7 linked regions of the Oryctolagus cuniculus genome follow. The protein of the gene in region 6 purifies or fractionates together with the protein of the main gene of each other region. This does not show direct contact. Links are inferred from orthologs where the notes say so. Each region holds a gene or a part of one and is shown on either strand. Other genes may lie near its edges. The genes, in order: ARID1B, SMARCC2, PHF10, SMARCD3, ARID1A, ACTL6A and PBRM1.

Region 1 (3,137 bases), on a different chromosome or scaffold from region 6:
GAGAGAGCAGCGATTGTGCTCAGCCACTTCTGACCCGGAAGCACTTTGGCTCATGTTTAACCAGCAAAGCCAGAGGATCCTAACCAGCCCCACTGCACTGTTCAGCTCATCCCCTCGTCTTACAACCTAAACACAACCACGGTTGGTCAGCGGCCCTCGGAGCATTGCACGGAGTCCGTGTTCAGCCCTCTCTGCCCCGCTGCTACTTCCTGTCTGACTTGCTCCTCCTTTGCCGTTTGCAGCTACTCCCGAGGCGTGGCGTGTGATGATGTCCCTTAAGTCGGGTCTTCTGGCAGAAAGCACCTGGGCTCTGGACACCATCAACATCCTTCTCTACGATGACAGCACCGTTGCTACTTTCAATCTCTCCCAGGTGAGCTTCGCCAACACATAGAACACAGGACCCGTAAGTCGTGTGGAACGCCGGGGTGTGTGCCCCAGTGGACGGGCACCGACTCGTGCTCAGGCGTGACAGCTGCCCTGGGCCAGCACTGATCAGTCTGCAGTTATCTGGGGAGGTTGAAGGTCCGCCCCTGCTCCCCTGGGATAACTGTGGGTGTGTGTGGAGTAGCTGACAGTAATAAAATTACATTGTTGTTTAGAATGCATAGTAGCAGGCCAGTTGGAGTTCATCACAATGTTAAGTGAAGTTAGCCTTGTGGTGCAGGTAGGAAAGGCAGTGCTCACCATGGAACGTCACCCTGCGTTCCTGGGGGACCTGACGTCTGTCTGCAAATCTTAGAGAAAATGTACAGAATGCCCAGGCGTGCACAGAACGTTCCAGGGAACCCAGGGAAGCTCTCTGTGCCCAGCGTCCCACCAGCACGATGAAGAGCTGGGGCCAGGCCTGTCTCCAGGTCTCATTCCTCCCATCTCTGCCTCCCGGGTGATTTGGACGCTGTCATTTAAACACCTGTTAGCTTGAATGAGCTTCAAGCCCTCCTTTGTTCAAAGCTAGGTTTCAGGCAGCTTCCAGCACAGTAGCTGGAAGAAAAAACAGAGCTGAGGCTTTGCACAGATGTCCAGCAGTCAGCTGGGCTGTGGAGTTTTTTTGTGGGTATTTAGAAATAAAAATGAGGAATGGCTATTTTTCTTGCTTTTGGTGGAAGAAAACTAAAACACCTAATTTCCTTGATTCTACAGAATCTTTTCCTTCATTTTTCTTCTCTCATTTAAGTCCCCCACTGTGGCCCAGAAAGGCAAGTTTTTCATTGAAAGGAAGTATATTAATAAGACCATAAACATTGTACAGCCCTGTGTTAACAGAAAATGAATATATAAAAATATGTATGCGCCCTTTGCTGGAGTAATCAATGTTCATCCTTCTGTTGGATGAACTACTATTGATCACACATTTTCTTTTTTTCTCTTTTCTTTATAAGATTTATTTATTTATTCTAAAGGCAGAGAGAGAGAGACAGAGAGATCTTCCATCGCTGGTTCATTCCCCAAAGCCCACAACAGCCAGGGCTGGGCCAGCCTGAAGCCAGAAGCTTCTTCCAGGTCTCCCACATAGGAGCATGGGGCCCAAATACGTGGGCCGTCTTCCACTGCCTTCCCAGGCCCTTAGCAGGGAGCTGGAGTAGAAGTGGAGCAGCCACGACTCCAGCCAGCACCCAAATGGGAAGGCAGTGCTGCAGGCGGTGGCCTTACCTGCTGTGCCACAGTGCCGGCCCCTCCCACATTTTCATAAACAGAACTGCTTTGGTAGCTTCCCCTTTTCCTGGAGGGGGCGGGGGAGTGCACTTTAAGGGTGAGGGAAGTCCAGGCTCCACCTCTGCCCTTGGACGTGGCTGGGGTTTCCCTACTTCCCAGTGACTGCTCCCGTCCCACTCTCAAGAAACTGACAGTGGGACAGAAAGGTGGGGTTGACATGCCTAACGTCTGTCACTAAAACACCCTTCCAGCACCTGCATGCCGGGGGGAGCTGGAGCGCTCACCTGGAGCGTGTGGGTCTCTTCCCCACGCAGACACTCGCTCGGGGAGCCAGTGCCGGCTCTCCGGAGGCAGTGGTGCGCCCTGCCGCTTTTGTCTTCAGCTAGAGTTGTGCATAATGGAAATGTAAAATCGCGTTTTATGAAACATTCTAATTCATTTATCAGGGACTAAATTGATTTGTTTTTAATTTTCAGTGTTTATGAGCTACTACATTGCTGAAATTATCTTCTCCAAAAGAGATATGGAGAACGTAAATTAGGGTAACCTACGGCACCTGAGATAAAAATAACCATTAAATCCTAAGAATAATAACCATAAAAACCCCAGCAAGCAAGTCTCGGATAAATAATAGAAGAGAACAGAGTCCCTTTGGCTGAAAGCGTCTATGAAATCCACATTCTCACTCTTTTAATAATGTGTGCGTTGCCTCTAAGTCAGAAAAGAAGGTGACGGACGGCCGAGCGCCCCTCCCTGGTAGCACTGGAAAACCCAGCAGGTGTTCGCACGGGTGGGGCAACAGTAAGGAGGCCGCTGCGGGGCGCTAGTGAGAGCTGTGGGTTCTGGAAGTGGGTGCCGCCTGCTGGGGGCTTCCTCTCGTGGCCCAGGCAGAAAGGGCAGGTGTGGCCGGGGGGTCCGCGGGGCTTCTCGCCCGCAGCGTTGCACTCACGTGCCTGTTCTTTCTCCTCCCACCCCACCCCCTCCAGTTGTCGGGATTTCTCGAACTCTTAGTCGAGTACTTTAGAAAATGCCTGATTGACATTTTTGGAATCCTCATGGAATACGAAGTGGGAGACCCCAGCCAGAAAGCACTTGATCACCACGCGGCGAGGAAACAGGACGGCCAGGCGGCGGCGGACGACTCTGGGCGAGAGGAGGCTGAGGCCGACGGCCTGGACGAGGACGAAGACGAGGACGAGGAGGACGAGGAGGACGGTGAGAAGACTGAGCCGGAGGCCAAGGGCAGCCCGGGCCTGAGCGCCCCGGACGCCACCGCAGACCCCAAGGAGAAGCCCAAGCAAGCCAGCAAGTTCGACAAGCTGCCCATCAAGGTCGTCAAGAAGAACAAGCTGTTTGTGGTGGACCGGTCCGACCGGCTGGGGCGCGTGCAGGAGTTCAACAGCGGGCTCCTGCACTGGCAGCTGGGCGGCGGCGACACCACCGAACACATCCAGACTCACTTCGAGAGCAAGATGGAGATT
Region 2 (3,500 bases), on a different chromosome or scaffold from region 6:
GAACCAGGAGCTTCTTCTGGTTTTCTCATATGGGTGCAGGGGCCCAAGGACTTAGGCCATCTTCTACTGCTTTCCTAGGCCATAGCAAAGAGCTGGATTGGAAGTGGAACAGCAGGACTTGAACCAGTGTCCTTATGGGATGCCAGCATTGCAGGTGGCGCGGCTTTACCTGCTACACCACAGCGCCAGCCCCTTGCATGAATGCTTTCTGTCCACACATTTATATTAAAAATTCAAAAACACATGAAAATGGAAAAAATTGCCAATACTTGAATTTTCCCCCCATTTTTCCACTCAGAATCATGTACTTAGGGACCTTTTTTTTAAGAAAAATGGGATTTATTCTATTTATTTATAAGTTAGAATTAAAGAGAGAGATCAACCAATTTGTTGGTTCTTTGCCCAAATGGCTGCAAAGGCCAGCAGTGGCCAGGCCGAAGCCAGGAGATTCTTCCAGGTCTCCCATATAGCAGCAGGGGCTCAAGCATTTGAGTCATCCTCCACTGTTTTTCACAGGCACATTAGCAGGGAGCTGCACTGAAAGTGGAGCAGCCTGGACTTGAACTAGTTCCCGTATGTGATGTCAGCTCTGCAGGTGCCGCCTTAACCCTTTGCACCACAGCACTGGCCCTTAGGGACCTTTTGGACATGTGGAGGGAAAAGATGTCTGATATTCAGAACTACCAGTAACGGGAAGAAGAGAAAAAAATTTTTTTGAAATGAAATGTTTCCCACCAAAGATCATAATGGATTCTTTTTTTTTTTTTTAAGTTTAAAAAATTTTTTTTAATTTATTTGAGTTAGACTGTAAACAGAGAAAGAGCTCTTCTATCCAGTGGTTCCCTCTCCAGATGGCCAAAACAGCCAGGGTTGGGCCTGGCTTCATCTGGGTCTCCCATGAAGGTGCAGGGGCCCAAGCTCTCGGGCCATCCTCCACTGCTTTCCCCAGGCCATTAGCAGGAAGCTATATCAGAAGTAGAACAGCTGGGCCTTGAACCAGTGCCCATATGGCATGCTGGCACTGCAGGTGGCAGCTTTACCCACATAGTGGTTTCTTAATCACATTCTCCACATGTGTGGCATGCTAGCTAGATGTCTTTTGGCATAATTGTTACACATTTGGCACAGATAGCACACAGGTTGGTGTCTTCAAAAAGGCCAGCCAGCTAGGCCTCTCTTGTCTTGTGGAAAGCACCAACAGTGGTACTCTGGGAGCACAGATCTGTTTTGAAATCCTGAGCAGTTTCTCCCACCAGACGCTTAGAAGGAGAGTTTTCGAATCAAAAGTTCAGTGGACTTCTGAGGACTGAGCGCCACAATGCCAGGCTTGTATCAATGAGGTTTCTTCACCCCTCCAGTAGAGGTCACTCCCTCATCGGTGGGTTTTGTAGCTGGTTGCTGCTGTGGGTGCTTTACTGCTGGTTGATTTGTGGGCGGTCTGCTTTCTGGGAACCAATGTTTATAGAGACCTCCTTCCCTACCCTCTTCTTCTCCTGCTAGACCTCAGTGAGCTAGGGGCAGCACTGGTGTTTATAAGATTTGTTTTGTTTATTTTAAATGTAGAGTGTCAGAGAGAGGAGGAGAGACAGATCTTCCATCCACTGGGTCACTCCCAACATAATCGCAACAGCTAGGACTGGGCCGTGCTGAAGCCAGAAGCCAGGAGTTCCACATGGGTCCCCAACATGGGCTGCAAGGGCCAAGTGCTTGGACAGCCTCCCACTGCTTTCCCAGGTCTATTAGCAGAGAGCAGCCAGGACTTGAATTTGCACTCTGATATGGGGTGCTGGTGTCACAGGCAGTGTATTCACCTGCTGCACCACAGTGCTGGCCCCTGTTCTCTGCTTTTTAAATGCATTGTAATGTTTTCTGGATAGCACCTGGAAAAATAAACCATGCCAAAAAGATAAACCAACAACCCGGTACTTTATGTAAGTGTTTCCAAAAGATCTGCACTCTATCCTGTTGATTGTACTTCATGCTCAATTTCTCATGGCAGTTACGACACCTGGATCCCGGCAAGTGAAATTGAAGCATCTGTGGAAGACGCACCAACTCCCGAGAAACCTAGAAAGGTAAGATTTTCCCGTGCCCCCACCCCATGAGGGAGGCTGGGACCAGACCACTTTCTGGAGGTGAGGCAGTGAGGCTTCTGTGCCCTTGGACTTTGTTTGAATTATTGTTTATTTATTTTCATTTTTATTTGAAAGACAGAGACAGAGAGAGATCTGTCTGCTGGTTCAGTCCACAAATACCCGCAACAGAAAGCACTAGGTTAGGCTGAAGTCAGGAGCCAGGAACTCAATCCATGTCTCCACACAGGTGGCAGGAACACCTACTTGAGCCATTACCTCCTATCTCCCTGTCGCTCCCCCTCTTCGTGGAGGAACGACACTAAGCCCTGCCTAGGCTTCATATCCGAGTCACGGCACCATTATGTCGCTCCCCCTCTTCGTGGAGGAACGACACAGGACCCTGCGCTGTTCTTTCGTCTGCTCGGCCCTCCCCGGGTTTGCTGCTGGTTCTTCCCGGGTTGGCTACTATCCCTTCCACCTCCGTGGAAGGGCAGTTCCCCCTGGCCACATTCCCCACTTCCGCAGGGGAGCGGCACACCGCCGGCCGGCTCTCTGGGGGGCTGCACGGGTGTTCCTTCAGCTAGATGTTCCCCTTAGATGTTCCTGGTGCATGCCGTCTCTCTCCTCCTTTATAGTCCTCCTCCGCCAATCCCAACTCGGCTGCCCACACGCCGAGTACGCTGCTCTCTTCCAATCAGGAGCAAGTCCTACAGTTTATTGGTTGAACTGGAGGCAGCTGTGCGGAAGCTGTTTACTTCTCTCCCAGCGCCATATTGTGGGAGAGCAGATGCATAGAATAAGTCTTAATTCCAGTAACTCAGTCTAGTCCGGTTTGCTCCCCACATCTCCCAAGGTGCACACTGGCAAGAACCTGGAATTGGCAGTAGAGATGGGAATCAAACCCACGGCACTCCAATACAGCATGTGCCACCTGCTGCACCAGAACCTGCCCACCAACACACATGTGTTTTAACAGAGGTCCCCAGACCCAGCTGTTGCTTCCAGGCTTCCCTCCAGCACCGTCTGCTTTTGTGCTTTAGGTTCATGCAAAGTGGATCCTGGACACAGACACCTTCAATGAGTGGATGAATGAGGAAGACTATGAAGTAAATGATGACAAAAACCCTGTCTCCCGCCGAAAGAAGATTTCAGCTAAGACACTGACAGACGAGGTGAAATTGTGTTCTTTCTTCCTGGAGCCCCATTAAGCACAATCTCAGAACAAATCTTTGCTGGGGACTGTAGGCTGACGCCTATCGCACTTCAACCTGCAGGTGAACAGCCCGGATTCAGATCGTCGAGACAAGAAGGGAGGGAACTATAAGAAGAGGAAGCGTTCCCCTTCTCCTTCACCAACCCCAGAAGCTAAGAAGAAAAACGCTAAGAAAGGGTACATTAGCCCTAACCTTCCCCTGTGTTCACCAT
Region 3 (3,500 bases), on a different chromosome or scaffold from region 6:
TAGCTTATCAACCACTGAATTCTTGGATGTGGATTATTGGTAATATATATTTTATTCTTGTGCGCTCTGATTTTCATTTATTGGCATTCAGCTTCTCCACCTATTGATGTGTTATTATGTCTCACGAACTGATATAAAAGCAAAATGAGAAAGGGGACTTTCCTGGAGAAATTTAAGACAAAACCCATCTCTAGCCATGAGTTTGTTTTGCCACTGCTCCTTGACTTTAGGAATGAGTTAGTACAGAAGCCATGCTTGAGTTGCAGGAGGACTACCTTTGATGAATTGTTCCGTACAGTTATTTATGTTATCTTTGGGTTATTCTGTTTTCAGTTTTATTCCTTGAATTCAAACAATTTTTGTGTAGCCCCTTTAACAGTATTTGAGATACATGACATGAAGTACTTTTAAACAGAAAATTTTTAAGCTTTTGTAAGTTTTATAATGCATAATGCTTTACTGTTATTAATAGTCTTCTGTTCTTCCCTTTTGGAGATTTAGAGAGACGAGATTTGTCTCATAAGGAGAAACTGTACCTGAGAGAGTTAAACGTCATCACAGAAACTCAATGCACTCTAGGTAATAGAAGCTTGCTCTTTTTTTTTTTTTTTTAAAGATTTATTTATTTGAAAGGCAGAGTTACACAGAGAGAGAAGGAGAGGCAGAGAGAGAGAAAGAGGTTGTCCATCTACTGGTTTACTCCCAATTGGCTGCAATGGCTGATACTGCACCGATCTGAAGTCAGGAGCTTATTCTGGGTCTCCCATGTGGGTGCAGGGGCCCAAGGACTTGGGCCATCTTCTACTGCTTTCCCAGGCCACAGCAGAGAGCTGGGTTGGAAGTGGAGCAGCTGGGACTTGAACCAGCGCCCATATGGAATGCAGGCAGTGACTTTACCCACTATACTACAGCGCTGGCCCCAGAACCTATACTTTTAAAAAAATACCATGCAGGGTGCTGGTGCTGTCATGTAGCGGGACCCTGCACCTGTGCTGGAGACCCGGAAGAAGCTTCTGGCTCCTGGCTTTTGGCTGCAGATTGGTGCCACTCTAGCTGTTGTGGCCATCTGGGACGTGAACCAGCAGAGGGAAGGCCTGCCTCTCTCTCTGTCTCTCTCTCTCTCTCTCTTTCTTTCTCTTTCTCTTTCTCTTTTTCTCTCTGCCTGCCTGCCTCTGCCTCTCTGTAACTCTGCCTTCCAAATAAATCTTTAAAAAAAAGTATAGGTTCTTATCTCTTAAAAGGGAAATTTTGCTGAATATTCAGTTTTGTGTAATATTCTCCATACTTTATACTTTTCCTTTGATAAGCATTTTAATGTAGTGTATAGTGTGGCTCTTTTTTTCTTTTTTAAAAGACATTAATATAAATTATTTGAAAGGAGGAATTAGAGGGAGGGAGAGGCAGACACTGGCTCACTCCTCAAATGGTTCAAAGCCAGGAACACTGAATTCCATCCGGGTCTCCCTGTGGGTGGCAGGGTCCAAGCACTTGAGCCATCCTCCGCTGCTTTCCTAGAAGCATCAGCCGGGAGCTGGACGTGAAGTGGAGGAGCCAGGACTTGAACTGTCAGTTAACACAGGATGTTGGCATCAGCCCTGTGTGGCTCCTTTTCTGTGTGAATGCACGAGAGTTCATTTTAGCAGCTGAGTAAAATCTGACACTATCACGTTTTGAAAATTGTGTTCATGATGTGTGTATGCGCTGATGCTTTTGGTAAAGTTTGGGTTGATTATAATATTTCTGGTATGGAATTTGAAGGCTAGGAAAAACCAGTAGTTTGAAAAGCTTTTTTTTTTAACTGATATCCTGTATCCTGTTAGGAGTTAGACTGTATTGTTTTTGGCAGTTGTTTGTAGATAAAGGGATATATGCTTATATGAGGGTACTTCAAAAAGGTTTTGGATAATGAAATTAAAGGATAAGTTTATTTTGGTACAAAACAATTTTGAATTAATGCATGCTGAGGGTCTTCAAAAATTCCATGCAAAATGGGTGTTAAGAAAATACCATGCATGGGTTTCAAAATCTTTTGCATCCAAATAAATTTTATTGTCATTTCCTATGAACTTTTTGAAGTTCCTTTGTAGAATACATAGGATCTAAAAAACTCATTTGGTTGAAAATGGATTTATTTATTTGAGAGGCAGAGAGAGCAGACAGAGCTAGTGGAGCCGCAGCTGGGAGCCATGAACCCGTCCGCATCTCCCTGTTGGGGAGCAAGAGCCCAGTCGTGGGTGCTCTCCCTGCTGCCTCCCGGGCTGCGTGGCAGGAACCTGGATCAGGAGCAGAGCTGGGGTGGACAGGCTTCGGCACGGGACGTGGTCTCAGCTGGCATCTCAGCTGTGAGGCCAAATTCCCACCCCGATCTTGCTTTTTGGTTGCTTGATGTCATTATACTACAGGTACTACTTTTAGCTGTTTTAAAATAGTTTGCTTTGTTTGAAAACCTTCTAAATGTAGTTTGAAAGAGAGGCAAATTCAAGAGTGTTTTTGTTCCCTTGAGAGTTACTTTCTTTTTAAAAATTTTTCTAATACAGGTTTAACAGCATTGCGCAGTGATGAAGTGATTGATTTAATGATAAAAGAATATCCAGCCAAACATGCTGAATATTCTGTTATTCTGCAAGAAAAAGAGCGTCAGCGAATTACAGACCATTACAAAGAATATTCTGTGAGTGACTGGGAGTGACCACCGCGCCTTGTTTGGGTTTGGGAGGATGACATGTGACTTTCAACTGCACTGTTTCTGTTTCAGCAAATGCAACAGCAGAACACTCAGAAAGTCGAAGCCAGCAAAGTGCCTGAGTACATCAAGAAAGCGGCCAAGAAAGCAGCTGAGTTTAACAGCAATTTAAACCGGGAGCGCATGGAAGAGAGAAGAGCCTACTTTGACTTACAGACACATGTAGGGTGATTTAAGCTCAGGAGTCTCTGGGCCTAGCTCCTTGCTTGTCACTGCAGAGTGGCGTTACCCCCTTACTGTTTGTTATGCTACCTGTCCTCTTCCTCCCACTGGAACGTAGGAAGCCGTGTGTAGTTACGTGCCAGGGACACCCAGCCTGCTGTCTGGGGAGCTGTGTGCCCTTCATTGCGGCTCTGCTGAGTGAGACTGCAGTAGCTGCTTCTCATACTCTGTGTGTGTCCGAGGGTGTCAGAACTCTCCATGTGCCTTGATTTCTCAGTTCTGACCGCATGAGGTTGGGACTGGCGTCATCACCGTTTCATACGTGAAGAAGTTGAGCCTCAGAGGGGTTGTGTAAGCCGCCCGGCTCCTGTCCTCGTTATGTGGCGAGCGCGAGAGGCACTGCGCTTCTTGGGAATTGTGCTCACAGTCGAAGGCAGACAAGACCGTGCTGTGTCTAGCTGGGAAGCACAGGTCTCTGCTCCATGTTCCTTAAATCTGTAGCTGTCGTAAAGGGGGAAGGGCGCACGCAGTGGAGAGCAAATCGGCTTCCTTTCCCGAAGGAATTCCATGATTCTAGGCGTGGAATGAGCTCTGT
Region 4 (4,070 bases), on a different chromosome or scaffold from region 6:
GGCTTCGGCGGAGGGGGCTTGGCGTGTCGCTGCAGGAAGCTAACTGAAGCCAGGCAATTGTCCAGGGCATTGCCGAGCCTGGAGCTGCGGAAGGTACCGCAAAAACGCACAGTAACTGGCAATGGCGCCTTTCCACCTTCCAAAGGAGGTTCACACCCTCACGCGCCTCTGCCAGACTCAGTGAACAGGTCCTCTCATTCCCACTTGACAGACGAGGCAACTGTGGCTCAAGGAGAACGGCGACCTCGCCAAGGTCACGCAGCTCATCTTGGCTAGGACAACACCTGAAGGGCTCCGGGTTCCTGAGGGCCGCAGCGTTTTGCCGTTTGCGGCTTCGTTGAAGTTAGGGGCTGAGCTCCCTGCTCTGACTTTCCTTACGGCTCCCTCCCTCTTGGTCTCCACTCCTCCAGCTGTTCTGCCTTGCACCGGCTCCTCCTCAGCTGCCCCCTCCTCTCTCCACGCCCTGCTTTTGGACCTCTGCATCCCAAACTCCATCCCCTCCAGCTGACTCCACACCCAGAGGCTTCAGCAACTAAGCTGGACCCCAAGATTTGCTCCCCGGGTGAAGGCTGAAGGCAGAGCAAGGGCAAAGGCACCTGAGGGGCTGACGTCACAGCCTGCCAGGATTCTGATTGGGAGGAGGGGGAGCTGGGCTGGAGGTGAGCTACCAGGGGGCCTGGGCCAGGTCAAAGGAAGCAGCGTGTCCACCCGCACCCATCAGCCATCAGCCAAGGCTTCACACCCAGCAGGCTTCCTCCACTGCTCACCCCCACCCCAGTGAAGCCAGGTTTCAAAGAGGGTGGTGGAGAGGGAGATGAGGTGGGTCATGTGCCCCTAGGTGGTTGGATGGGGTGTAAATGAGATGCAAATGAGTGAAGTGCTACTGCCACTTGTCCAGAGTTCAGGAGGGATATGAGGGTTTCAGGGGCTTGTGTAGCAGCAGGGGAGTGGGTGGGATGGGGACTGGGAAAAGCAGGAATCTTGGGGAGCAAGGGGCCCCTGTTGTCATTTATCCACTCCATTATCTCACCCTAGGCCCAAGGAGACGCCCCGATGCTGCCCCTGACTTTGCCCCTAAAGCCCTCCCACTCCCAGCCAGCAGCTGTCTCTGTCCATCTTTCCAGCAGTGAAACCTGCCCGACCATGTGTCTGCCTCCCCCCACCCCACCTGACCCTGTCACTCATGCTTCCAGGGTGGCAACCCAGAATGGAGCTAGCTGGTGACCATTCTCCGCCAGCCTAGATGGGGCACTGGGAGTGGGGATGGTGGGGCGCCGAGCCACCTAAGAACTGAAGCATTAAGTTGGCCATATATATATATATATAGAGAGAGAGAGAGAGAGAGAGAGAGACCCATGTCGAGCCTCTCTCCCTGCTAGCTGGGCCTTTTCAAAGGAACTCCCCGCAGCAGCAAGGCTAGGACCGGTGATGCAGCTGGTGGACATGCAGGCCCTGGAAAGTCGACCCCAGAGATGCCCAGCGCTGGAGGCCAGGCTGACCCAGGAACCCCCTTGGCTTTATCAGCTGGGCTCCCTCTCTGTCAAGGCCAGGGATACTGCCTGCTCTGCTGGGAGGCTTCCAGGGCCCCCAGGGAGCTGTGCCAGCCACCAGCACCACCCCCACAACAGGCCAAGATTCAGGGACTCTGGCCTCCCTCACCAAGAAGGTGCCCTCCTGGGGGGTCACGGCCAAATGTGGCCGCAGTGAACCTGACGTCGTCCCCTCTCGCGTCTCCACACCCAGCGTGGCCCCCGAGCCACCCAGCTCAGGCCTCTTCCGTGCCCTGCCTCGGGTTGCTGAGGCTGCCTGGGGCTTCCCACGTGCCTCTGGGGCTGCCCTGTCCCTGGGATCCCTAGGCCTCACGTCCCCGACTCCGGCCCTTTCTTCACACCTTGGAGATATTAAGGACAGGCGTCTGCCAAGGGGACGCTCGGACTCCTTCCACCTGGAGTCTGTCCCTAGAGGGAGCCTCTCCCTGACCCTGATGGCAGGGGCTACGCCGAAAATGCCCCAGTGCCCTCCTGCCAGGATACAGAGGTTGCTCAGCCAGAGGGCTTTCGCGCCCACAGTGCCTCCAGGGTCACCTGCTCCACGCTCTGGAAACAGAGTGACACCGTCCCAACGGATGTGAACAGACAACCCAACAGGGCTGCGCCGCGTCCCCGTCCCCCGCCCCCACCCCCGGGGAAGGGGTAACACCTGGGCCCGCTGGGGAACCCAGACAACATGTCGGCCACAGAAGGGGACCCCCACCTGGGTGGGGGGAGTCCCCCAGTCCCACGCCCGCCCCTGACAAGAGCCCGCGCAGTCGCCTGCCTTCCCCGCCGCGCGCGCCCATCCCCGGCCCGCCGCCTGACGACGTGTTGGCACGCCAGGGCGCCGGCACGGTCCCGGCGCTGGGCTGTGGCCGCGGCGCCCCCGCCGGAGGGGTGGGCGCGCGGGAGCGCCCTCCCGGCCCCTCCCGGCCATCCCTCCATTCAGCCCGAGCCAGCTCGCTCACCCTCCCCCGCTAACTTTCCCCCACTCACCACCCCATGGACCAGAAACTCAAAAAGTTTGCTTTTCGTGGCTTTGCGCGCCCCTCCGGCAACTTCGTCCGCGGCCATCGGGGTGGGCTCAGCGGCGCCTCTCACTCTCTCTCTCTCTTCCTCTTTCTTTCCCTTTTCTGCCTTTTTTTTCCTCCAACTCTCCCCTCTGAGTCCTGCTGGGCTCTCTCACACTTCTACTCGAGCGGAGTGGGGAGGGGGCCCCTTCAGGGCTGCCCTGACGGCCCACGGCCCACGCCGCCGCCGCCGCCGCCCGCCCGCCGCCGCTGCCGCCGCCGCCGCCGCGGCTGCCGCATTCCTGCACTGATAAGACAGAAATAGTCCGGCGGCCCGGGGTCTGCCTGTTGACTCGGCGGGGACGGGGACGCCGGCCTTTGCAGCCCGCGCTGTCCAAACAGCGCAGATAAGCGGCGAGGTGCGCGGCGAGCCCGGCCCCGCCTGGGCGCAGGGTAGCGGCGCTTGCAGCCCGGAGCCGCCCGAGGGCCGCGCGGGGAGCTGGCGGGGGGCTCGCCGGCCACCCGGGCTCTCGCCACAAATAGCTGCTCGGTTAGGGAATTCGCCGGCAGGGCCAGGCAGGGAACAGTCAGTTCCAACTTTCTTCCCTCCCCGAGAGGCTCCGGCTGCATTTCTGAGGCCCTTTCCCCAGAGACCTGGCAGGCCAAGTAGGGAAACATTCGCGGGCAGGAATCCGGGGGGGAGCCGAGGCCGGCCGCGCCGGGTGTGCCGGGGAGGAGGCGCTCCCTGCGCGCACGGCTGTGTGTGTGTGTGTGTGTGTGTGTGTGTTGTGCCCTTGTCTGGCGGCCGGCGTCCGCACCCTGCGGCCCGGCGCGGCGGCTGCGGGTGTTGACGAGGGCGCACGGACGGACGCCTCGCCCGGGGGCCTCGCTGCGCGGGAGCCGCCAGGCCTGCGCGCGTGCGTGGGGCCGGGACGCGGCCTGCGCCGCGCTCCGCTCCGCGCGAGGCTATTTCTGGGTATGTGGGTCTTTGTTTGCCTCTGTGTGAGAAAGTGAGGGCAGGAGGGCAAGTATTTCGGAAGGAGGGACGGGGACGGGGCTCAGAGAGCGCAGCGAGGGGGAAACGCGGGGCGAGGCGGCGCAGGGCCGGGCTGGGGGCTTCGGTGGGGGCGTCTGGGAAGCAGGAGACAAGCGGGGCTTGAGGGCCTAGGGGTGCGGACCCCGGAGGGGTCGGGCCCGCCTCAGCATCCCAGAGGAAGCCGGGGCGCAGGGTGGGGTGAGAGCGAGCCCCCGAAGGGGCGGTGTGCAGGGAGCTGGCAGTCCCTGGGGTGGAGGAGAGACAGGAAAGAGGAGGGGCGAATCCTGAGATCCCCAGACTGGGCGCCCTGGCCCCGCCCATGCCCCAAGGCCACGCCCCTATCTCCTCCTCCCGGAGGAGGGGCCCGTGGGCTTTGGGACGACAGAGGGTCAAGTTTAAGGGCCTGCTGGGGCTGCGGTGTCAACACAGGTGAGGGCGGGGCAACGGGACACCTACTTGAAGTTGGGCCCTGAAGACCCAGCATTGCCCTGC
Region 5 (3,500 bases), on a different chromosome or scaffold from region 6:
TTCTCTGTCTTTTCCTCTGACTCTGTCACTCTGCCTTTCAAATACATACCTCATATATACATACATACATAAACCTTTAAAAATACTAACTGTATGGCTACTACCCACAAATAGGTTATATGCAGAGGAATCCCCAGATGCCCCAGTACAGTTCCCCCCAGCCCGGCTCAGCCTTATCTCCGCGTCAGCCTTCTGGAGGACAGATGCACACAGGCATGGGCTCCTACCAGCAGAACTCCATGGGGAGCTATGGCCCCCAGGGGGGTCAGTATGGCCCACAAGGTGAGTATACTACCCAACTGGGAGTAGGCGGAGGAGAAAATAGTTCCTCACTGATATGTTGTAGAAGTGAGGTGTCCTTTGCCTTAAATCTACCCATCTCAGACTCTGATGTAGGGTTGTACTGGGTTCCATCTTGCCTCTCCTTATCTTTGTCACCATGGAAAAGTATGAGTTTCCTAAGTTTTATTTATAAAATGGGGATTAGGTGTTTAGCCCAGAACTGAGCACAGACTCTTTAGATGTTAGCTGTGGATGTTTTGTTTTGTTTTGTTTGTTTTAATGAATAAGTCCTAGTAGAATAGATTGTTACTTAAAATCAGCTCTTGTCTTGAGGTTGTCGTGGTATAGCAGGTAAAGCCACTGCATCCCAAATGGGCCCCAGTTTGAGTCCCAGCTGCTCATTCTAATCCAGCTTCCTGCTAATGCGTCTGGGAAAGCAGTGGAAGATGGCCCAAGTGCTTGGGCTGTTGCTTCCACATTGGAGACCTGGAAGAAGCTCCTGGTTTCAGTTTGGCCCAGCCCTGCTTGTTGTGGCCATCTGGGGAGTGAACCATTGGATGGAAGACCTCTGTGTCTGTCTGTCTCTCTCTCACTCTGTGTAACTCCATCTTTCAAATAAATAAATCTTTTAAAAAACATACATAGATATATACATCAGCCCTAAGTAGATCTAAAGGTGAATATCTTGCACAGAGCATGGGATAGAAAGCAAGGTGAGTGTACTGAAAAGAAAGGATTCCTCTGGGGATTTAAGGGCCCAGATGATAGCAAAGCCAGCCTTGCTCACCTCTTTTTTAAGATGGGGAAACACTACTGCTTTACTTAGTTTTCGCATGGGGGTAAAGGCTACCATGAAGTTTACCTCTTTCCTGACCAAATAGTCAATGATTCTCATTGTTTAGAGTTTTAGAGCTGTGAGTTGCCAGTGAGTCACTAACTCAGTCTCTTGTTTCCTCTCCCCCTCCCCCCTCCAGGAGGCTACCCCAGGCAGCCAAACTATAATGCCTTGCCCAATGCCAACTACCCTAGTGCAGGCATGGCTGGAAGCATAAACCCAATGAGTGCTGGAGGTCAGATGCATGGGCAGCCTGGCATCCCACCTTATGGCACACTCCCTCCAGGGAGAATGAGTCATGCCTCCATGGGCAACCGGCCTTATGGCCCTAACATGGCCAATATGCCACCTCAGGTTGGGTCAGGGATGTGCCCCCCACCAGGGGGTATGAACCGGAAAACTCAAGAAACTGCTGTCGCCATGCATGTTGCTGCCAACTCTATCCAAAACAGGTAAGGCCTGGAAAGTAAAAGGGTGTCAGTGCAAGGAAATCTACCATAGACCCATTTAGTGATTGAGGTGCTTCTGGAACTAAATCAGAACATTGTATGTATGCACATGTAACAGGTAGAAACATATCAAGAGCTCTTTAGAGACTAGGTTTTATTAGATTATAGTGTTTAAAAAAAAAAAACAACAGAATTATTGGTTCTTAAGCATCTTATATTGATATCAAATTTCACATGACCAAATATGTATATAAAGGACTTTATACTATATGTAAAGAACTATAAACAGATTATGTTGATTAGCAAAGTAAGTCTTCAGGGGAGGTGGATTCACTTCTGTCAGTCTAATTTTTTGGTTTCTAAAAGGATGGTTAGTGATAAACATGATTTGAATCTGGTGTGAAGAATGGAAGAATGGTAGTATTGTGGTTGTTGATGGTCCTGTGCATTGACTGGTATTGAAGTGCAGGAGGCTCCTGTGTGAGGTCCAGCGACTTGAAGAGTTATCTCTTCATCAGTCTCAGACTTCTGTGAATATGATTTCACTGTTATTCAAGATACAACTCCTTATACCACCCTATTGTTAGTGCCCATGACTCTTAAAATGAATCTCATTGCCGTATTGATAAACCACAATAAAACAGAGCAGTTGACTAAAGAAGTGGGTTTGGTAGACCTTCACAGTGATGAAGTGCAAAGTTTGTGTTATGACCATCAAGAAAGATTGTAAAGCCATCTCCAGATGCTTTGTCCAGGGGTCCAATTTGATTAAGGCTTGGTACAATTGAGCATTTCATTTAGGCTGTTAAAAGGAAATACAACTTGAGGGGGTGATTTATAGAGTTCAACCCTTCTTAGACTCTTGTGGGAAGTAGAAAATGAGAATATCTAACTGTTACATAGTTCTATTTGGGGGAAGACCCATATGCTTTTTCCTTTTAAGCCTAACTAGATGGTCATACAGCCTTAATTTTAATTAGCTCAAATCCCAATCTGAAAGCTTCATGTTTGTAACCTATCTCTCACTTTCCCTCTTCTTCCTTAGGCCACCAGGCTACCCCAATATGAATCAGGGGGGCATGATGGGAACTGGACCTCCCTATGGACAAGGGATTAATAGTATGGCTGGCATGATCAACCCTCAGGGACCCCCATACCCCATGGGTGGAACCATGGCCAACAATTCAGCAGGTATGTTCTTGCCTTGCTCACCCTAGAGAATGTTTCAAGAGTGATCGTCACATGCTAACTAATGTATTGGACATGCGAATTATGTCCTCTCTTTTATAGGGATGGCAGCCAGCCCAGAGATGATGGGCCTTGGGGATGTCAAGTTAACTCCTGCGACCAAAATGAACAACAAGGCAGATGGGACACCCAAGACAGAGTCCAAATCCAAGGTATCGAGTTTGTCGTGACTCCTTTCAACTTTGGATCCTATTCTTTTTCAGTGATAGGAAGGGAAAAGAAAAGAGAGTGATGAGTCTAGCCTGTTAGGACATCACTAAGTAATCTGAAAACCCCGCAGTTGCCTCTTCTTATCATGAAGGGGCCCAGAATAATAGCTCATTGAATTAGGTTTGAGTTAGCTCAAAGAATTGTGAAGTAAATAGCGTTGATTCTCATACCTCTGTAACACTGTAAGACACTGCTGTGTAGAAGTCTCTGAATTGTTTGGCTGGTGCCCTCTGTGAAACTGACTGCCTTCTGTACTTACTGGAACATTGATAGACGGTATGCACCATGGACAGTTAGTTCCTGTCCTCTTTCTGGACCTTACTCACAGCAGCAGGAATGGTTAGTGGCCTGTGTTCTATAAAGGGGGAGATGACGCTGAGGTCCTCGGCCTCCCCATGGGTTGGTCATAGTGTGTTCTCTGTCAGACTGTATGGCAGCCTTGGTACATGCTCGGTGCTCAGATCATCTCAAACGTT
Region 6 (4,259 bases):
CTGTCACAGGCACAGGCAGCGACGTGAAGGGTTTGAGCCTCTTTATAGATGAAGCTGCTTGCAGCCTGTGAAGAGGCAGTGACAAGTGGTTGCAGTAATCGAGGGGAGAACGACAGTGGGCTGGCCTGGCTGGTGGAAATCATCTACTAAGCAGAGCAGACAGACTGGAGATGTATTTAGGCTTAGATGCTTGCCTGAATGAGCATCGATTAGCTCGTTCAATACCTGTCTCACCAGATAAAAGAAACGGATGACCTATCTAAATGTAGTTGGTACAATGCATCACGTCTTAGCCATGAATAAGCATTTTAAAAAATTGCAGGATCCTTCCCCTGGTGGGAGTTCTGGCGTGCAGAGGCCAGCTGTTTCGGCCTTTGCTGACGCCAGGCAAGGACACGTCCCTGCCTCTCGCTGGACACCTGGGAAAGGCATTGGCCCGTTACCTCCCCGCTGAGTCAAGTGTTTCCTGGTTCAGAGAGGAAGTGGCGTCATTCATGCCTCACTCCTGGCTTCCGGCTTTGATTTTGTAACCTCTGGCCTTTTTTGATCATTGGAATTGTATATCTAAGTCGGCTTGTGACCTGGCGAGGTGGTCACGGGGCTCTCCTGTCTGCCCGCCTGTTGACTGCTTGCTTTATCAATATTGGGGTTCCCAGTTGTGAGGCAGTGGCCGAGGGTGGCATCTGTGGGGAGAACCTGCCAGAGGCCTGCACGCAGGCCCGAGTCTGCCGGTGAACCGCTCTCCCTGCTGAGAAGCCAAACGCCGCTCCTCTGTGTGACTGGCGGCTGAGCCCTCAACTTGCCCTTGACCTCCACGAAGAACTGCGCGCCGTGAGGCTCCCTCCTTGCCGAAGTTCGGATATGAGTTCGTTTTCCTTTGCCAAGGGACCTGCTGGTGATTGGGAAATGCCTGTGTCTGGGGTTAACAATGGTTTCTAAGTGAATAAACGGGCCATTTAATTCTGTAACAAAAAATTAAAAAAAAAAAATTGCAGGAGCCTATTAATTTGTTTGATTCACTGGTTGACCCTACACAAAGTGGAGTACAATTTTATTCAACAAATGTTGGTTGAAAATGCTTTTTTTATGGAAAATCTTTAAAAATCCGTAAATTCACTGCAGTGCAAGGTCAGGAATTACTGCTCGTTGACACTTTATCCTATTTCCATACTTTATCCCATTTCCAGCCTCTTTCCTGAGCCCCTTCCCGCCCCAGGTTCCCACCGCGCCTCGGCGCCTGGTCACACCCCTGGGCCCGCCCCCCGACGCCTGGCTCTCCCGCTCCCTCCGCCCACCCTGCAAGCTCCGCCCCCTGGAGTCCCGCAACCCAACTCCTGCCCTCCTTCCGTCGCTTTCCGCCCAACCCCGCCCCCATGGCCACCTTCGATTGGCTAAACTGGCGGAGCCGCGGCGGGGATGCAGCGAAGCCGCATTATGATTGGCTGAAAGGTAGGCCTCCCTCCTCGTGATTGGCTGCTAAGGGGAGCCAGCAAGTGTGGCTGAGCTCTCGGGTGTGTGGACGCCGCTTTGTTGCCGGAGGGGGGTGGCGGTGGAAGTTAAGGGGGTCGGGGGCCAGCGCGTGTGGCGGCCGCTGTAGTCACTTCGCCCGGCACCTTTTCGCCCAGGAATCAAGCCGACGGCAGCCATGAGCGGCGGCGTGTACGGGGGAGGTGAGTGAAGGCGGCCCGGCCAGAGAGCGCGCCTTTTTGGCGTGTGGGGTTTGTAACCGCCGCCCCCAGCCCTCCCCTACCCGGCGGTCCCTTCCGGTCTCCCCCTCTCGGGACCCCGGCCTCCCCGCCCCATCCCCGCCCCGCGCTCTGCCCGCCCCCGGAGCCCACCCGGCTCAGCGTGCGCCTCGGGCGCCGGAGGAGCTGGGCTTTTGGGGTCGCGCGTGCTGCTTCCAGCGGGCCGGCCCGCGGCGCCCCGGCTGGAGTGTCTCGCCTCGGGGTGGCAGCCCCGCGTGTGTCTGCAAAATTCGCCCGTGTGGGGCTTGCGTCTGCGTTTAACCTGGGAGGCCCCCAGCAGTTGGCGAGCGCGGACGGAGGGTGTCCGCAACGTCCCATAGAAGGCAGAGCGGCCGCGAGAGGTGGACCGAGGGGAGAGGGGGCGGCCGCCTCGGTCTGCGCCCTGCGCTCGCGCTGCCTCACGTTCCTCAGCAGCTCCTGCCCATTCTTGACCGTGGAGTCTGCGGAGTTACTCGTGGGAGGGCCTGGTTGGGATGAATCTAGAGACACATGCAATTTAAGGACGCCCGGAAGCTTTGCCTGAGGTCCCGGGCGTCTGTTCTCTGGCTTTTCTTGAGTAGACTGTGTTGTGGTACAAAGATTACCACGGGCTGTGGGCATCGTCAAACTTCTCAGCGCCTTGGCCTTGGGCAGTTTACTTTCCCCGACTTTGCGCCGCTCGCTCGTGGGATGGGAATTCCTTAGCCAACGAGGGTGGCTGCCAAGATGGACCGACATGAAGCTACACCTGCTGCTCCAATTGAAGTCCGTGGAGCGGCAATATCAGCATCACCTGCAAGCTGTTTAGAAAGAATCTCAAGGCCCACCCTCCGTTCTACAGAGTCAGGGCTTCCATTTTTGAAAGATGCCCCAGACAATTGGAGCACTCACTGTTGGATTCACATTTTGGGGTGTGTTTGAGTTAGAGACCCAAAAGACAAATCCGAAATACAGTCAGCCTTGAGTAACTGTGGGCTCCACATCTGTGGATCCCACTAACTGTGGACCAGAAGTATTCAGAAAAAATTGCATCTGTATTGAACATGTGCAGATTTTGTTTCTTGTTATTCCCTAAAGTATAACAGCTGTTTACATAGTGTTTACATTGTACTAGGGATTATAAGTAACATAGAGAACACCTACTTAAAGTATCCAGTAGTCTGTGCCACAGGTTATAGGCAAATGCTACATCGGTTTATATAGTCGACTTGAGTATCCAAGGATTTTGGTGTATGGGGGTAGGGTCCTGTAACCAATCCGCTGCAAACACTGAGGGACTATGTGCTTGCTACTGCTACTGTTTTAGTAAGGATTCTCTTTCTGAAGAGGATGGCATTCCGCAGGTAAAGGGATAGGTAACTTTTCTAAGTTCTTAGTATTTTTGGTGGTGTAGTTTCAGAGTCTTCTCTGAGGCAGCATGCTGAGCCTGTTGCCTCCTCCTTCCTATTTTGTGTCCTTGATTTTCTTATTTTTACTTTGGATCTTGTTAATTCACCTCTTCCCCATCTGAAGATTCAGTCTTGACTCCAGAGAAACTGAGTCTAGACTCTTAGGAGCTCCAGGTTCATTGAATCAAGGATCCGGAGGCTGTCCAGTATTCCTTACAAGGCATTGTTTAGTATGACTGGTAGGAATGGGATAATACTAATGCTAGCAGCTAGCATTTATTAGGTGCGTACTGGAGACCAAGAGTATTCCAAAGGTTTTATGTGCATTATTTTTAATCCATGCAGTAACTCCTATAATCTACAACCACCATGTAAGATGGTATTATTATCCCTGTGTTACTGAAGAAAATGATGTAAAGATAGGAAAGGTTAAAAATCAGCCCAAAGTCATAATTATCTAGGGAGTTGAGAGCAAAAATCTCTGAAATAAAGGGCATTTCAGCCAAGCCCTTCCCTACTCCTTTAAAAAAGCCATTTCTTTGGTTATTTCTCTGTGTGTCATGTTTCAGTTATACAACCATAGTATTACCATGTATGACTTAGGTGTTCAGAATAAAACCACTTCTTGCTAGCTTATTCAGAGGAGTGTAAGGATTATTCAGAAAGTTTATGGAAAATGGAGTTGAATGTTTATTTTAGTGTGAACATTTTTGGAATTTAATCAAGAAAGCTTATGAAAAAACATGGATTTCAAAAATTTTTGCACCAAAATACTTAGTTTTTAATTCATTTTCCATGAACTTTTTGAAGTACTCTGATGTTTTAAAGTCTTTCATGTAGAAAGTACTTAGAATTCACAAAAGTAAGTATGATTTTGTGTTTATAGTGGATCATATTTTTCCAAGGAATTTAGTGTTAAAAGCAACCAAACCATTCACTTAAAAATGTTGAGTAATTGGGCCGGTGCTGTGGCATAGTGAGTAAAGCCACCGCCTGCAGTGCCGGCATCCCATGTGGGTGCCGGTTCGAGTCCTGGCTGCTCCATTTCTGATCCAGCTCTCTGCTGTGGCCTGGGAAAGCAGGAGCTTCTTCCAGGTTTCTGACATGGGTGCAGGGGCCCAAGGACTTGGGCCATCTTCTACTGCTT
Region 7 (3,500 bases), on a different chromosome or scaffold from region 6:
AGTTGCAGAGAGAGAGAGAGATCTTCCATCCACTGGTTCACTCCCCAGATGGCTGCAATGGCTGGAGCTGTGCCAATCCAAAGCCAGGAGCCAAGAGCTTCTTCTGGGTCTCCCACGTGGGTGCAGGGACCCAAGGACTTGGGCCATCTTCCATTGCTTTCCCAGGCCACAGCAGAGAGCTAGATTGGAAGTGGAGCAGGGGGCCTCGAACCTCTACCTATATGGGATGCTGGCACTGCAGGTGGCAGCTTTACCCACTACACCACAGCGCTGGTCCCATGGATTATTTCTATATAAAGAATTTTTTTCCTTGTTATTTGGTTAAGCAGTGGTACAGTTTTTTGTTTGTCTTGTTTTGGAAGAATAAAAGCCTGATTTTTTTCTCTTTTTTTTAACCAGTTTTTATGATAGTATATCGGTTTACTAATACCCTCTTTTTTTTTTTTTTTTTTTTTTTTTTTTGCCAGGCAGAGTTAGACTGTGAGAGAGAGAGACAGACAGAGAGAGAGTTATAGACAGTGAGAGAAAGGTCTTCCTTATGTTGGTTCACTCCCCTAATGGCTGCTACAGCCAACACTGTGCCAATCTGAAGCCAGGAGCCGGGTACTTCCTCCCAGTCTCCCATGCAGGTACAAGGACCCAAGCACTTGGGCCATCCTCCGCTGCCCTCCCAGGCCACAGCAGAGAGCTAGACTGGAAGAGGAGCAACTGGGACTGATACCCAGTGCCCCTACTGGAACTAGAACCTGGGGTGCCGGTGCCGCAGGCAGAGGATTAGCCAAGTGAGCCACGGCACTGGCCCCCTCCAATTTGTTTTTAAAGATTTATTTTATTTTATTTGCAAGTCAGAGTTACACAGAGAGAGAAGAGGCAGAAAGAGAGAGAGAGAGGGGTCTTCCATCTGCTGGTTCACTCACCAGTTGGCCGCAACAGTCAGAGCTGCGCTGATCCGGAGCTTCTTTCAGTTTCTCCCACGTGGTCGCAGGGTCCCAAGGACTTAGGCCATCTTCTACTGCTTTCCCAGGCCATACCAGAGAGCTGGATAGGAAGTGGAGCAGCCGGGCCTCAAACCAGCCCCCATATGGGTTGCCAACGCTTCAGGCCAGGGTGTTAACCACACTGCACCACATTGCCGGCCCATCCTCCAATATTTAACTACGTTTTTGTTGGTCCTTTTTTTTTTTTTAACAGGCAGAGTGGACAGTGAGAGAGACAGACAGACAGAAAGGTCTTCCTTTACCGTTGGTTCACCCTCCAATGGCGCTGTGGCCGGCGCACTGGGCTGATCCTAAGGCAGGAGCCAGGTGCTTCTCCTGGTCTCCCATGCGGGTGCAGGGCCCAAGCACTTGGACCATCCTCCACTGCACTCCCGGGCCACAGCAGAGAGCTGGCCGGGAAGAGGGGCAACCGGGACAGAATCTGGCGCCCCGACCGGGACTAGAACCCGGTGTGCCGGCGCCACAAGGCAGAGGATTAGCCTATTGAGCTGTGGCGCCAGCCAGTTTGTTTTACATGTATATGTATCATTATTAACAGCTAGCTTTATTGCTGACTTCAATCCATTTTAGTTATTCTCCTTATTGATGCTTATGTTGTCTCAGGCTGGCTCCTGTATTCTTTTAATGTGACCATCGTAAAAAATAGTTGATAGATTTTTTACAATGTGTTGTTTCAAGATACACCAGACTTGGAGTCAGCCATTTGTGAAGGAGTCCTAAACTTTGTATGTTTCTGTTAAAAGGCCAGGATTGTTTGAAATTAACGTTTTAAAACTGTGGTCCTGAGATATACTTCTACTAAGCTGGTCATTATTTCTATGACTTTCAATGGACAGACCTAAAAAATTGAGCATGTCTATGTATATGTGTTTATATTTAAAGATAAAATGCATCGTGGCTCAGTTGATACATTCAATTGCGATTCCAGGCTATGGAGCTTTTATCCATGTTCTTGGTTTTAACATCTGTGTCTCTCCTTCTCCCACAATGAAATCTCAGTTCTGTGGGGTTTCAGAGATGATGGAATAAGTATGCCACGTATCTACTGACTTGCTGTATCCCACATTATTCACAGCTAGCTGAGCGTGACAGTACAAACTGTCCGTTCAAAAATTTGATTTCTGAAAACAGTTAAATAATCTTTTGTAATGTATTTCACTGAAGATATGTTACTGTGTTTTGCAAATCACTTGTTCCTTTCTTATGGTTATGCTACCAATTGTATACAAATTTATATTCATTTATTTCATTTAATCCATTTAACATAAAATTTCTTTCTTTCTTTAGGTAGGAAGAGTGGCATATCTCCTAAAAAATCAAAATATATGACTCCAATGCAGCAGAAGCTAAATGAAGTTTATGAAGCTGTAAAGAACTATACTGATAAGAGAGGTCGGCGCCTCAGTGCCATATTTCTGAGACTTCCCTCCAGATCTGAGCTGCCTGACTACTATCTGACAATTAAAAAGCCCATGGACATGGAAAAAATTCGAAGTCACATGATGGCCAACAAGTACCAAGATATCGACTCTATGGTTGAAGACTTTGTCATGATGTTTAACAACGCCTGTACATACAATGAGCCCGAGTCTTTGATCTACAAAGATGCCCTTGTCTTACACAAAGTCTTGCTGGAGACTCGGAGAGACCTCGAGGGAGATGAGGACTCTCACGTCCCAAATGTGACTTTGCTGATTCAAGAGCTTATCCACAATCTTTTCGTGTCAGTCATGAGCCATCAGGACGATGAGGGAAGATGCTATAGTGATTCCCTAGCAGAAATTCCTGCAGTAGATCCCAGCTTTCCTAACAAACCTCCTCTTACTTTTGACATTATTAGGAAAAATGTTGAAAATAATCGCTATCGGCGGCTCGATTTATTTCAAGAGCATATGTTTGAAGTATTGGAAAGGGCAAGAAGGATGAATCGGTATGTTTTTAAAGCCATTTCTTTTTGAGGATGTGATGTTTAGTGCCAGGCAGTTGAGTGGAAATTGCTTTGATTCAGCTTATGTGTGTGATTATAGTTGTTACCATATTATTCTGACTTAATTAGGCTGAACTTCAAGAGTGAGATATTCCATGGAGAAGAGAGGGCACACTTCTTTCTGTTTTTTGTTTTTTTTTTTTTTTGTTTTTAAGATTTATTTATTTATTTCAAAGTCAGACTTTTGGAGAGAGAGAGAGTTACACAGAGAGGCAGAGAGAGAGAGGGCTTCCATCCACTGGTTCTCTCCCCAGTTGGCTGCAATGACCAGAGCTGCACCAATCCAAAGCCAGGAGCTGCTTCCGAATCTCCCACATGGGTGCAGGGGACCAAGCAATTGGGCCATCTTCTACTGCTTTCCCAGGCCATAGCAGAGAGCTACATTGGAAGTGGAGCAGCCGTGACTCGAACCAGTGCCCATATGGGATGCTAGCACTGCAGGTGGTGGACTCACCCGCTATACCCCAGCACCAGCCTTGAGGGCACGCTTCTTTTTTTTTTTTTTTTTTTTTTTT

Evidence for each region.
Region 1: the proteins of ACTL6A (region 6) and ARID1B purify together in Homo sapiens (affinity purification with mass spectrometry; 5 studies listed by BioGRID and IntAct, with this or other methods). This does not show direct contact. The link is inferred for Oryctolagus cuniculus from reciprocal best matches to the Homo sapiens genes ACTL6A and ARID1B.
Region 2: the proteins of ACTL6A (region 6) and SMARCC2 purify together in Homo sapiens (affinity purification with mass spectrometry; 8 studies listed by BioGRID and IntAct, counting the BioPlex papers as one, with this or other methods). This does not show direct contact. The link is inferred for Oryctolagus cuniculus from reciprocal best matches to the Homo sapiens genes ACTL6A and SMARCC2.
Region 3: the proteins of ACTL6A (region 6) and PHF10 purify together in Homo sapiens (affinity purification with mass spectrometry; 3 studies listed by BioGRID and IntAct, with this or other methods). This does not show direct contact. The link is inferred for Oryctolagus cuniculus from reciprocal best matches to the Homo sapiens genes ACTL6A and PHF10.
Region 4: the proteins of ACTL6A (region 6) and SMARCD3 purify together in Homo sapiens (affinity purification with mass spectrometry; 3 studies listed by BioGRID and IntAct, with this or other methods). This does not show direct contact. The link is inferred for Oryctolagus cuniculus from reciprocal best matches to the Homo sapiens genes ACTL6A and SMARCD3.
Region 5: the proteins of ACTL6A (region 6) and ARID1A purify together in Homo sapiens (affinity purification with mass spectrometry; 5 studies listed by BioGRID and IntAct, with this or other methods). This does not show direct contact. The link is inferred for Oryctolagus cuniculus from reciprocal best matches to the Homo sapiens genes ACTL6A and ARID1A.
Region 7: the proteins of ACTL6A (region 6) and PBRM1 fractionate together in Homo sapiens (co-fractionation; 4 studies listed by BioGRID and IntAct, with this or other methods). This does not show direct contact. The link is inferred for Oryctolagus cuniculus from reciprocal best matches to the Homo sapiens genes ACTL6A and PBRM1.

Annotation. Positions count from the first base shown.
Region 1 is NC_091436.1:10,395,236-10,398,372, reverse strand, and holds part of ARID1B (AT-rich interactive domain-containing protein 1B), read left to right. Parts: intron 1-242; coding exon 243-373; intron 374-2,642; coding exon 2,643-3,137. UniProt on the Homo sapiens protein: Involved in transcriptional activation and repression of select genes by chromatin remodeling (alteration of DNA-nucleosome topology).
Region 2 is NC_091442.1:58,984,923-58,988,422, reverse strand, and holds part of SMARCC2 (SWI/SNF complex subunit SMARCC2), read left to right. Parts: intron 1-1,999; coding exon 2,000-2,075; intron 2,076-3,115; coding exon 3,116-3,247; intron 3,248-3,349; coding exon 3,350-3,465; intron 3,466-3,500. UniProt on the Homo sapiens protein: Involved in transcriptional activation and repression of select genes by chromatin remodeling (alteration of DNA-nucleosome topology).
Region 3 is NC_091436.1:634,201-637,700, forward strand, and holds part of PHF10 (PHD finger protein 10), read left to right. Parts: intron 1-495; coding exon 496-579; intron 580-2,537; coding exon 2,538-2,671; intron 2,672-2,755; coding exon 2,756-2,905; intron 2,906-3,500. UniProt on the Homo sapiens protein: Involved in transcription activity regulation by chromatin remodeling. Belongs to the neural progenitors-specific chromatin remodeling complex (npBAF complex) and is required for the proliferation of neural progenitors.
Region 4 is NC_091438.1:22,579,849-22,583,918, reverse strand, and holds the start of SMARCD3 (SWI/SNF-related matrix-associated actin-dependent regulator of chromatin subfamily D member 3), read right to left. Parts: upstream 2,801-4,070; 5' UTR 2,607-2,800; coding exon 2,529-2,606; intron 1-2,528. UniProt on the Homo sapiens protein: Involved in transcriptional activation and repression of select genes by chromatin remodeling (alteration of DNA-nucleosome topology).
Region 5 is NC_091438.1:144,733,246-144,736,745, reverse strand, and holds part of ARID1A (AT-rich interactive domain-containing protein 1A), read left to right. Parts: intron 1-114; coding exon 115-282; intron 283-1,256; coding exon 1,257-1,569; intron 1,570-2,611; coding exon 2,612-2,757; intron 2,758-2,856; coding exon 2,857-2,966; intron 2,967-3,500. UniProt on the Homo sapiens protein: Involved in transcriptional activation and repression of select genes by chromatin remodeling (alteration of DNA-nucleosome topology).
Region 6 is NC_091435.1:100,247,005-100,251,263, reverse strand, and holds the start of ACTL6A (actin-like protein 6A), read left to right. Parts: upstream 1-1,459; 5' UTR 1,460-1,645; coding exon 1,646-1,670; intron 1,671-4,259.
Region 7 is NC_091441.1:97,124,613-97,128,112, forward strand, and holds part of PBRM1 (protein polybromo-1), read left to right. Parts: intron 1-2,285; coding exon 2,286-2,928; intron 2,929-3,500. UniProt on the Homo sapiens protein: Involved in transcriptional activation and repression of select genes by chromatin remodeling (alteration of DNA-nucleosome topology). Required for the stability of the SWI/SNF chromatin remodeling complex SWI/SNF-B (PBAF).